Linked DNA regions of Drosophila melanogaster. The protein of the gene in region 1 interacts with the protein of each later gene in a pairwise test. Each region holds a gene or a part of one and is shown in the gene's direction. Other genes may lie near its edges. The genes, in order: CG3528, Cpr92F and Gsc.

The links.
Region 2: the proteins of CG3528 (region 1) and Cpr92F interact in a two-hybrid assay, tested with the Drosophila melanogaster proteins (one large-scale study listed by BioGRID).
Region 3: the proteins of CG3528 (region 1) and Gsc interact in a two-hybrid assay, tested with the Drosophila melanogaster proteins (one large-scale study listed by BioGRID).

The regions. Positions count from the first base shown.
Region 1 is NT_033779.5:2,516,541-2,520,130, reverse strand, and holds CG3528 (uncharacterized protein), read left to right. Parts: upstream 1-2,093; 5' UTR 2,094-2,174; coding exon 2,175-2,480; intron 2,481-2,533; coding exon 2,534-2,935; 3' UTR 2,936-3,029; downstream 3,030-3,590.
Region 2 is NT_033777.3:20,667,567-20,671,320, forward strand, and holds the start of Cpr92F (cuticular protein 92F), read left to right. Parts: upstream 1-2,004; 5' UTR 2,005-2,164; coding exon 2,165-2,176; intron 2,177-3,569; coding exon 3,570-3,754.
Region 3 is NT_033779.5:592,991-596,744, reverse strand, and holds the start of Gsc (goosecoid), read left to right. Parts: upstream 1-2,059; 5' UTR 2,060-2,364; coding exon of another isoform or gene 2,365-2,538; coding exon 2,539-3,157; intron 3,158-3,754.

The DNA.
Region 1 (3,590 bases):
GGGCGAGGGCAATTTATGGTAACTTGATAATTTGTGTTAGCATTTGCCAACAGTTCAAAGGACTCGTGGCTGTAAGCCATTTATTTGCCGGACATGTGGCACTACTACCACTGCCAAGCGTCATTATAATAAGGAAATTGCACTCCAGAGTGGCGATGGGATTACACAGAAAATCTGGGAGTTTCGTAGTTAGGGGTCTGCAAAATGAAATCAAAATAGGAATTATAAAAACCCCTTCCTGGTTGACTTGCACATGCAAGCAGTATGCTTTTCTACGCTTTTCGGCAATCATGTCCATTGTCATGCTCGAAATGTATGAATGCTTGAAAAAATATGATTTACATATCTAGAAGTTCTCTGATAACTTCAATCTATGCAACTGCTCAAGTGGATGATTGGCATGCCCTGTGCGATAATGACGGCAACTGCTCAACTATAAATTCCAGCCCTCAGTCCATTCAGCACTTTCTGCAATTGAAATGCAGTTGCAGCCAGCCGACTCATTCATCAGAAATGTGCACTTAACACATGGCAAAAGCAGCCTCGACTTTCCCGAGGCAGCATTGAGCATTGCCGCCTCATTCTTTGGTAATGCACATAAATCCTTAGAGTGCGCACTTAACTCCTTTTTATGCTGCGACAAAGTACATTTACTAATGACCAAGTCAAACAATGGCCACGGCCAAGACGCAGCGGGCGAAATGCGAGTCCTGGCAGTCCTGGCGGTCCTGTAGGTCCTGCCAGTAGACTGGCGGGAAGTGGGTATGTCGTGACTTCAGCGGGGAGCAGGAGGATTGGCCCACGAAGTAGCAATTTACGCGCTCAAGACGGCGGCAAGCGGCAAGATGGTGACAAAGCATGCAAAACGGAACAGCAGTTGTTGCCCCAAAGTGATGGAGAGGGGGGAGGGAAGGGAAATTGTGAGAAGGCTTGGGAAAATGCAGAGGAAAACTATGGAGGGGGATCTGCACGTGGAGGAGCACTGAGCTCCAAGTGTCGGCAGCGGCTGCATGTTAATTGCTGCAGCGACGACAGCAACAACTGCAAACAGTGGGAAAGCGTGTCTAAATAGCGTAAATTCACACAGACACACACCTTCACGCAGGCAAGGGGAAAATCTAGCTGCGTATTGTGTGTGGAAATTGAAAAGCGAGCTGGAAATCTGCCAGGAAGTGCAGGACATCTTACACACCCTATTTGATATATAAATTATGGCTGATTAGCAGCGGCTGTTGGCATTGTTTTAATTGGTTTACCTGGTGATTAATCTCAAATGGCGAAAGGAACTTTGAAAGTGATTTATTTTTAAGGCAGGTTACAGTATCCTGTACAATTTCATAGACTTGGGTACATTTTTTAGTTGACTATAAACTATTCGTTGCAAGTTCATCAACTGGTTACCGTTTATGTGTAAATCTGATCTGATCTGAAAGTCCTTGGGATTCATAGGGCGATGTGCGGAACACTAGGTGTCACTTGTTAGACTGCTAATCCTCGACAGTGTGCGCTCAACGGGATATCAGGCGGAAAAGGACAAAGAGCGCTGCATACGCACAGGCTGAAAATGCAAATTTTCCCTTTGGCTGGCTGGCAGTTTAAAATGTTGATGAAGTAATTAGTTTAATATGCGAAATGCCCCTGATGGGCGGCGGGAGAGGGCGTGGCACATAGGGAAGTGTAATTGAAAATACTCACAGTTCTGGGCTAAAAGGGACAAGGGCACAGTCGGGGCTTGGGCATTGTGAAACTTTTTCCATTTATTAAATTTGCCACACGAACAGCGCAGCGGATTCTGCCAAGGGAACTCTATGTGGGAAATGTTTAATTATTTGTGCGCACATGAAATTAAAGCTGTTACAAATTGTTACAAACCATTCCGGCTATCAGTTTCTCAAACAAATTTCAATTAAGATAAGACTTTTTCACGAGTTTCGAAAATTAGAAGGAATATTTTTTGTGCTCAGCTACTTTCATTCGAAATTGAATATGAGAACAACTCTGCTTCTTCAGGCCCAGCAAAAGTTTTGCCTTTTGAGCCAAAGTTGGCAGTTTGTTGTCAGTAATGTATTTTGCTCGAACTTATTCAAAATATTATACATTTTGATTTACACGAAATCACAGTTTTCTTGCCATTCAGCAGCTTTTCAGTTTTAGTTTTTTGAGTTTCGCGCGGAATGAATCTGATTAACTTTAATCATTACCAGGACTATGTAGACAGCTTCATAACCATCCAGGACACTCGCTATTTGGGCAACAAAGAGATCCAGAGGAACCTGATCCAGAATGCCTGCGGTAAGAATTGCCTGGGTAATCTGCTCACCCGCGAGCAATTCTACCAGCGGAAGGAGAAAGAGTTGGTGCTTCTAAAGCCAAGGGGACTACGAGGACTCCAACTTTTTGGAGACTACTTGAACAACAAAGATGAGGTGCTCCAACAGTTTGCCAATCGAGAGAAGAAGCTGCTCGAAAAGCAAATTTCGGTTAGAAGGTTACATTTATGTGTAGTGAAATGTGTACATTTTGTAATTTTTAGACCGTCGTCTACCTGGTGATGCGTTCGAAGAAGGGTCTAGAGATCTCCAGCTTTCTGGACCTGGAGCAGAGTCTGCGCGAGTCGCGATTCGAGAACTCTACAAGCTGCGTAGACTGGCGGGCCATTTTCGAGGGCAGAACGAAGCTGAGGCCATCGAATCTGCATCTCAGCTACTTCGACTGGCACCAGAATCGTGTGTCCTTCAACAACAGCGACAATTTCCGGGTGTTGAACAAGAGGCCCCACAGTCTGCTGCTAAAGCATGTTGGCGATCACAAAATATTCTGTGTGAACGCCTCCTGCGATTGCGAGCACTCGAAAAATGTCAGCCGCAAAACGTATTTCTCGCCCATTTATGGATATGTCATATTCTTCGACCACATAATCAGGCGCATTAATTAGCGACGGCTTTAAAGTGTCAATGAACGTAATCGTCGTTAAATGAAATGTGCAAATAAATCGAAACGAGGGCGCATTTGTCGCTGACAGCTAACGTAAATTGCTTTTCATATCTTATCAGTACAGTTCTGGTCGCAGTTTTTGATGGACGTTTCGAGGTCCTTCCGCCCGGCGAGTCCTCCGTCCATCAGGCGGCGGAAATTACCCGAGCTTTATGCCACTTTGTTGAGTTTATCGCAGTCAGGGAACATCAATTGCATAAATCTATTAACTGTCGCCCGGCGGAATGGGGGCGTGGTTGAGCCTTCAACTTGACCAATATGTTTCTGTTTGCGCATTTGCCATTGTTTGCCAACTTGCTTGTGTGGGTCAGCTTATGACGCTTTGTTAATTCTCCCAACAGTGTGTCTGTTTAATTGGCCTTTCCACTCATGCAAATCAACTTGGCCAAAATTTACACAAGGCTGAAAGGAGAATTTGCTACGGCTTACACATTGGTGGTTAATGAGTTGAAAATATTAGTAGTCAGTCTTAATAAAAATTATATGAATACAATTAAATCCACTCTGTTGCCCAGATACCATGTTTTTGGAGAAGCAAATTCAAATAAATATTAAATACGCCTAAATTATGATTTAAGTGCCACATGCAGAGGCAG
Region 2 (3,754 bases), on another chromosome or scaffold:
AGGAATGCATTTAGATAAATTGATTCTGATTGCATAATACGCGTTATTACCAGGTAATTAGTTAATTTTCACCCAGATACCGATCAGAATTCATATGCCCGACACCCGGCCAGTAGCGTTCGCATTGAGAGCCAAGACCATAATTACAGACGCCGTTCGCAAATGGAGCTGGATTGGATCGGGTCGGGTTGGAGCTGAAGCTGAAGGTGGCTGAAGGTGGGCACCTCGACAAATCCACAAATGTGTGGATTGCACTTGAGCCAGTCGAGGCATTCATTCAGGCAGTCGGCCCACAGCTGTCGACAGTGGGCCGAGCTAATAAAATGAAAACAAAAGTGGCACCGGCAAAAAATATAATTTATAATGTTGCGCATACCGCAAAAATGTCAAACACGCCCCAAACCGATCGCCCGCCCGCGCATAAAAACAACAACAACAGCACATGCGGGTTCAAAAGAGCAGTTTGAAGTTGGTTTGGTTTATTCAAATTAAATTGGTGGCAGGCAAAGGCAAACAAATTAAGTTGCCGATACGAACTCAAGAATATGGAGTGTGCCATATAGACTATAAACGAGTATATAGGCGCATATAGCCAACCGCCCTCCCGATTTCGCTTATCGAATGCAAATAATCAAAGTTAGCCAGGGTGCAAGCACTCATTATATTGCAACGGACAAGAGAGGCTCACTGCTGCACTTGCAGAAAAAATGCAATCGGATTTCGGATACGGAATCGAAATTCATTACATTAAATTATATTTATTTCTTTATGTATATATATATATTTATATGTTTAACTGAGCTATAAAAAAATAATAACATTTTGGGGAAAAAAAATCATCTCTTCTCTTTAATAACTAAGATACTCAATAATTGTTAAGAAGTTGGGATATTCAACTAAGATACATACAAAAATTAGTTACAACAGCATTTCTTTCGAAATCGTTCACTCACCTAGCATTCGACGAATATCATTTTCTCTTCTTAGGGATTATTCTTAGTTAAGGATAGCTCATTCTAAGTTAAATAATTTTGATTTTCCGAGTGCATGAGTGCATTTGGGAGTGCAACATCTAGATTAGCGGACAGCAAAGAAATGCTGCAACATGTGGCAACAGCGGTGGCCAAAAGTGAATAGAAAATCCATTTTGCTGTCTTTTGTTTTCCGCTTGCTTCTTTGGGCAGTGCTCTTGTTTCTCCTTTTTTTTTAATTTGCAAAGTTTTCGTTTCGTTTTCCGATGCAGTTCAATGATTAAAGAGGCAAACGCCCAGAAATTGGCCAGCTCACATTTCGTTATGGCCACCATTGGGGCATGTTGCAAGCGGTGGGTAAGAATTTTTTAATTTGATCGAGCGTTGCGCTTGGGGCGGGGCTCTTGGGCGTTTTTTGGAAAGGCACTGATCGATAAGATCGGCCTAATCCCGTGGCCAAATAATGAGTGCTAATTGTCCGCACCGCGGAAGTCAAAGAACTAGCACCCGAAACAACACCAAATAAAATACATTAATCGCCTAATGTTGAAGCCAGGTTGAAACCAATACCGGCAATTAAATCGCGTTGAAAGCAAGGTCATGGCAGCTGTGATTTTTTCCACAGTGACAAACGCAGCGCGGAAACGCACGAGCAACATGTTGCCAGTGCAACTGCAGGCCAGCAACATGCTGCAGCGGCACTCCACTGCAAGCGATTGATACACATTCTTCGGCTGCGATATCCACTTCGGCTCTGGCCAAACCCCGCTTCGAGCCCCGATTAAAGTGGTAATTCGATTACTCTGGAACTGGTACCACACATTGTTCTGCTCTTGCTCTCGTTGGCTTTTGTTGGCTTTTGTTGAACGCCCGATATTGCTGGTGTTGCGGTGTTTTCGCTGCTGTTACCAATGTTGCGCATGCGCCGGCGTCTCAGCCGGAGTCTCGGCTGCAGTGTCTCTGCTCCCCAATCCCCAGTCTCCGGGCTCGCTGGTCTCGGGCGGTATATATTAGGGCCGCCAGCCAGCAGTCAGCACAGTTCGTTAACAGTCCTAGTCGTGGTTCTAGGAGGTTCAACCAGCGTCCAGCGACCAGTGCCTGTGCCCGTGTGTCGTGTGTAGTTAGTTTTCCGTTCATCCGCAGTGTGTCCCCGAAACTCCTTTTCGAAGCTCAATCGTGTGATCATAGCTAAAATGAAGCCATTCGTAAGTATGCGCCATGGGATCGAAAGGATAACGCCGAGCAAGAGGATTAAAGTTATAAATAATATGAGTTGGAGTGTGTAGATTACCGTGAGGAGAAAAGGATATTTGGATTCCGTGCTTGAATTACTGAGATACATTTCTAACTTTTTCTGTTCTACAAATTAGTGATTAACGTCTCTGCATGTAATTTATTTTTCTTAAAGTTACAAAATTTTACCATAAAAGTGGGCAAAAGTTCATTTAATTGATTGATTCTATCATGAAATGCTTAAGTTCATTAAAATCGTAGTTTAATGGAACTATGTAAGTCCACAGCCAGGTTTCGCTAGTTAGAACTGCTTTTTCATTTTCGATCTTTGGGATATGTTAATCGGTATCAAGAGAGAAGTGTGGCATACCAAATCTTTAAATTGGATTTTGTCAGCCGTTCGAAAAGTAAACACTAGTTTGACAGTGACTTGCCATTAAGTTTGAATGAATTCCTGGCATTCTTTTAATCTGTCATAGCGCAATTAATTTAAAATTCAACTGACATTGCTTTTGTAAACTCAATTTATTTCGCTTAAATTCCGCTCCGAACGAAATGGCACCTGTGCATCGTTCAGTTCCATCCGAGAGTCAATTACCATGGCACGTCATGCTAAACGTACCACCCAGCAAACCATCAGCTGCCATGGAACTCCGTGCGAAATCCCGTTGATAAGCCGCTGACATGTTGCATGTCGGACAGTTTATTCAACCGTTTTTCCACCACTTTCTGCCCCACTCACCTGCTGACACATAATATCGTACATAATCGCGCCGCATGCGGTAATATCTTCGAACGAATATTGGCCGACCGACCGACTACTGACTACATATCTCGGAATCAAATCTAACGGTTGCGCTTCGCGGCTCTGAAAAGCGAAACCATTGGAAAAGCGAATCCAGAGGAGAAGCGAGTCCAGGAGAAAAGCGAAAAGATGGGCGTGTGGGGCAAGAAAAGCGAGAGGAAAACGCTGGCGCAAGAGCAAGAAAAGCGAAAAGCCTGTAATTAGGTTAGCAGAGGCGGCTTATAAGCTTCCACTGAGTGACACCTGCGATTAACGATTTTGGGCGGTGGCTACCGCACGAGTAATTATTGAGCAGTCACATAATCCCACGCCTAACACCTTCTGCACTGTGAGAAACATGTAGAAGCTATATGTTAAATAATTTGAAATATTCAAAGAGATGAAGGTACAAAAGTTCTCTAATCGGAATTCAACATAGGCAAAATCAAAAAGATTTTTAATTATTATTATATATATATTTAATATATAAAAATCAGTTCTGTAAAGCTATATTGAAATTTGTTAGTTTTTTTTATCAGCTACATCAAAATTACAAAAAATAATTTCCCATTTTTATTTAGTTTATTGCCGCAGCGTTGCTGATCTCGACGGTGTCCGCCTCTTGGCACGGAGCCGTCTCCACACAGTACCAGCACCTGGACCCGCACAGCCACACCTACTCCTACGGATACGCCGATCCCAACTCACAGAAGCACGAGACGCGAAGCCATGACGGCACCACGCACGGCTCCTACTCCTACGTGGA
Region 3 (3,754 bases), 1.9 Mb from region 1:
AGAATTCAGGTCAGAGGTCAGAGTAGGTAGAAAAGGCAACAAAAAGTTTCATGTGAAAAAACAAGTTGAACAAATTCTGTGAGGAAAATAATAGAAAAAAGTGCGTCACATCTTTTGAGCTTAGCGAGAAGCGCACTCCCAGAGCTTCCTCCTCTTTTTCCATTCTCAACTCAATATTTCCTTTACATTTACAACATCGTCATCATCGGTTTTCCCGTCGGGAGTTGTTGGCCATGTAAGAAGTTCAGTGTAAAGGCAAATAGCGAAGCCCAGAGAAAACTGGGCGGCAGGATCCACTAAGAATCGGAGGGGAAAGAGGACCAGAAATATCCTGGTCCTGCGGTCCTTGGCCTGCTTAATTATTCAATAATTTCTAAAAGCATTTGGCCACATGCGACGTCATCAGCCGTCATCCTTTCATCCTTTTACGGCATGTGACAGGACCGCCCCTCTTCTTCCGTGCGCCCCCGTAATCAGTTGAACACATATACCCCCAACACACACTAAAACATCTGCATTTATGTAAGCCTCCCTCCCTGGACCCCTCCTCTTTGTCCATCTTAGTACACAGAGCGATTTGGGTGCCCTTTAAATACTTTCTTATTATTTAAAGATATTTCGAAACCACCCAATTTAGTAGTCAGTGTTGATTGATAATTTATCAGGAACGCCTCGTCTTCCATGATTCTCCTAGCAGAATTAAGTTTAGTTAGTATGTAAAGATGGACCTTACTTGGGAATTATTTCTCCAAGTGATCCCCATTTTTCACCCCCACATAGGTGACATTGTAAGGACTTTTCGGTTCATTTGCTTTTCCTGGCTGGATTTCCATTTGTGATTGTGGGTGTGGTTTGCAGAGTTGCATTTATCATTAGTCGTAGCTTAGCTTTTGTTTTCCTGCATTCGAGTGGACGAGGAGGGGGGGCATATCTAGGGAACGAACCCTGGCGGCCATTGGGGATTTTGCACTTGGGCATGTTTGATGTGGAAACTTTAGATTAAAATATTTTCCTATGCACACACACGAGGTGAAACAATAGCGACGAGGGTCACCAAAGTGCCGTAGATTATTGAATGAGCGCTCCCAGTCTCCCTCCAGTGTAAGCTTCATCTTTATGTACGAGTAGTAGCGTGCTTCTTTCTACATAAAACGTTCACCCCTTAACCCTTTTCAAGCTCCCAACGTCTGCAAGAATGATGATAAAGATAAAGCTCAGAAAGGGAGAAAGAGCAAGAGCAGCGCTTCTCCGTGGGCGGATTGAGCGCATAATGATGTTTATGTGTTGCCAGAAACATAAAAGCATTAATTTAGTCATTATCTTCTTAAGATACGGCGCCAGCAGAGGCAGTGGAGTATCAGAATCCCCTGAACGCGAGAAGAGAGCGTCAGGCTTTTTGCCACCCATAATTTCCATCAGCATTTTTATGCTACCCCTGCTACTCACTCTGAGTGAAAGCGAGAGAGCTTCTGTTGCCATATCCTGCGCACCCGCTTCCCTTCTCTATCGCTCCCTCGACAGCTATCTCTTTCTGTGGGGGCCGCGGGGTCTGTCAGTGATGACTTTATCTGTATAAATAACTGTCAGTGGCCAAAGAAAGTAAGTAGAGAGCGCAAAAATACAAAAAAATACATGGAAGCATTGGTGTGAATTGGGTGGAAAAGGAGGGGTCTGGTGAATGGGGCATTATCTCTGTAGCGCCATCTTTATCCTGGACCTCCTGCCAGCCTTTAACCTGGAACACTGCAAGATGGGGGCCCGACACCATCAACCACCACCAGCTAGAGCGAGAGAAAGAGATACAGAGGGAAAGCAAAAAAGGGAGGGAGGATACAGAGAGAGGGAGAGGCGTCCAAAGCCAGAGAGTATTGCCAAGCAATATGGTAGCGTTGAGGGCGTGGCTTCACCCCGATTTCATTGGCCAACGTCGAAAAATGTCCGCTAAACGAGAGAGCAGATGTGAGTTTGTATCTGGCATCTGAGAGTCTGTATCTATATCTGTCGAGGAACTGGCCTAACGACTACTCAATCGACAACTTGTCGGGCGGAACGCTCTCACAACACTTTCGCAGCTCGAGCGGACAAGAAGGGTTCCCGGTGGCAGAAAACCTGTGGAAATAATAAAATATAAAATCACGACGCGATTGCAGTGCGTGTTTCTAGTGCGGTTTAGTGAACTTGGCATCGATCAAAACACACTAATCCAGTGAAAAAAACCTAGACTTAATATTCGCAACATTGCCACCATTACTGAATTAAAAAAAATTGTAAAGCGCTTAGTGCTTCAAAAGTGCCGCTTCATTAAAAAAAAATCAGTGGGGAAGAGACTTTTTCCTACTCGAAAGCTTCATAGACTTCTTCAAGATTCTCTCCTCACTGTGGACCCCTGGAGGAGGCGGTGGAGGCACCACCACCACCACTCCCAGCACCACGCCCGACATTCCGCCCTCGAAGGCCAAGTTCAAGATCACCGTCGTGAGCACGCCCAGCCCCTCCCCGCCGCCTACGCCCCCTCCGGCTGGATCTATGCTGGCACAAATGGTAGAGACAAATTCCCCGCCGGCGGGTTACACCCTCAAAAGGTCGCCCAGCGATCTCGGCGAGCAGCAGCAGCCTCCAAGGCAGATCTCGCGATCTCCTGGCAACACGGCCGCCTATCACCTGACCACCGCCATGCTCCTGAACTCGCAGCAATGCGGCTACTTGGGCCAGCGATTGCAGTCGGTCCTCCAGCAGCAGCACGCCCAACACCAGCAGTCCCAAAGTCAAACTCCGTCCTCCGATGATGGCAGCCAGTCAGGTGTCACCATTCTGGAAGAGGAGAGAAGAGGAGGAGCCGCCGCCGCGTCTCTCTTCACTATCGACAGCATTTTGGGCTCTCGCCAACAGGGTGGAGGCACCGCTCCAAGCCAAGGCAGCCACATCAGCAGCAATGGCAACCAAAATGGACTCACCTCGAATGGCATCAGTTTGGGTCTGAAAAGAAGTGGCGCCGAGTCCCCAGCCTCGCCAAATTCAAACTCCAGTTCTAGCGCAGCCGCCAGTCCCATCCGACCGCAGAGGGTTCCTGCCATGCTGCAGCATCCTGGCCTGCATCTGGGTCACTTGGCGGCTGCAGCGGCGAGCGGTTTTGCCGCCTCTCCCTCGGATTTTTTGGGTAAGTCTATCAATCCCCCTATACTGAACGCACAAGCCCCCTCAGCTGAATTTCATTATGAAGACAACTTAAGACGAAACCAGTTCAAAGGATGGTTCTTTAGATAAAGAAATTTTAACATTTTGAAATACCTTATTTCATGCATCTAAACTCTGAAATCACCTTAAGGCAGCTCACTCATGCAGTCAGGAATCACCCATTCAGCCACTCACCCACTTTTATCCTGACATCCTCATCCTCTCCCACTCAACCGAACCACACCCATTCCGAAGCGAGTCCTGAATGGCATTATTCATAATTAGGCAATGATCCGTGAAAGATGATTCCGCATTTCCTCTCCATTTTCCTTCGATTTTGCGGTGAGAGGATTTGCATTGGGCTCTAAGTCTTAGCTTGGGCCGGAAAAACCAGGGAAATCCGGGATGCTGGGGTGGCTTTAAGATGGGCTCAGGCCTTGTGTTGATTCGAGCGTGGATCTCAGGCGCAGATTTATGCAGAATACCGCTTAAATTCATTCAAAGGCTCCCCCGCAGGACATGAATATTAAAAACCTGGTCGCAACTTTTTTCCCCAGCTTGCTGCAACCGGAAACGGAAG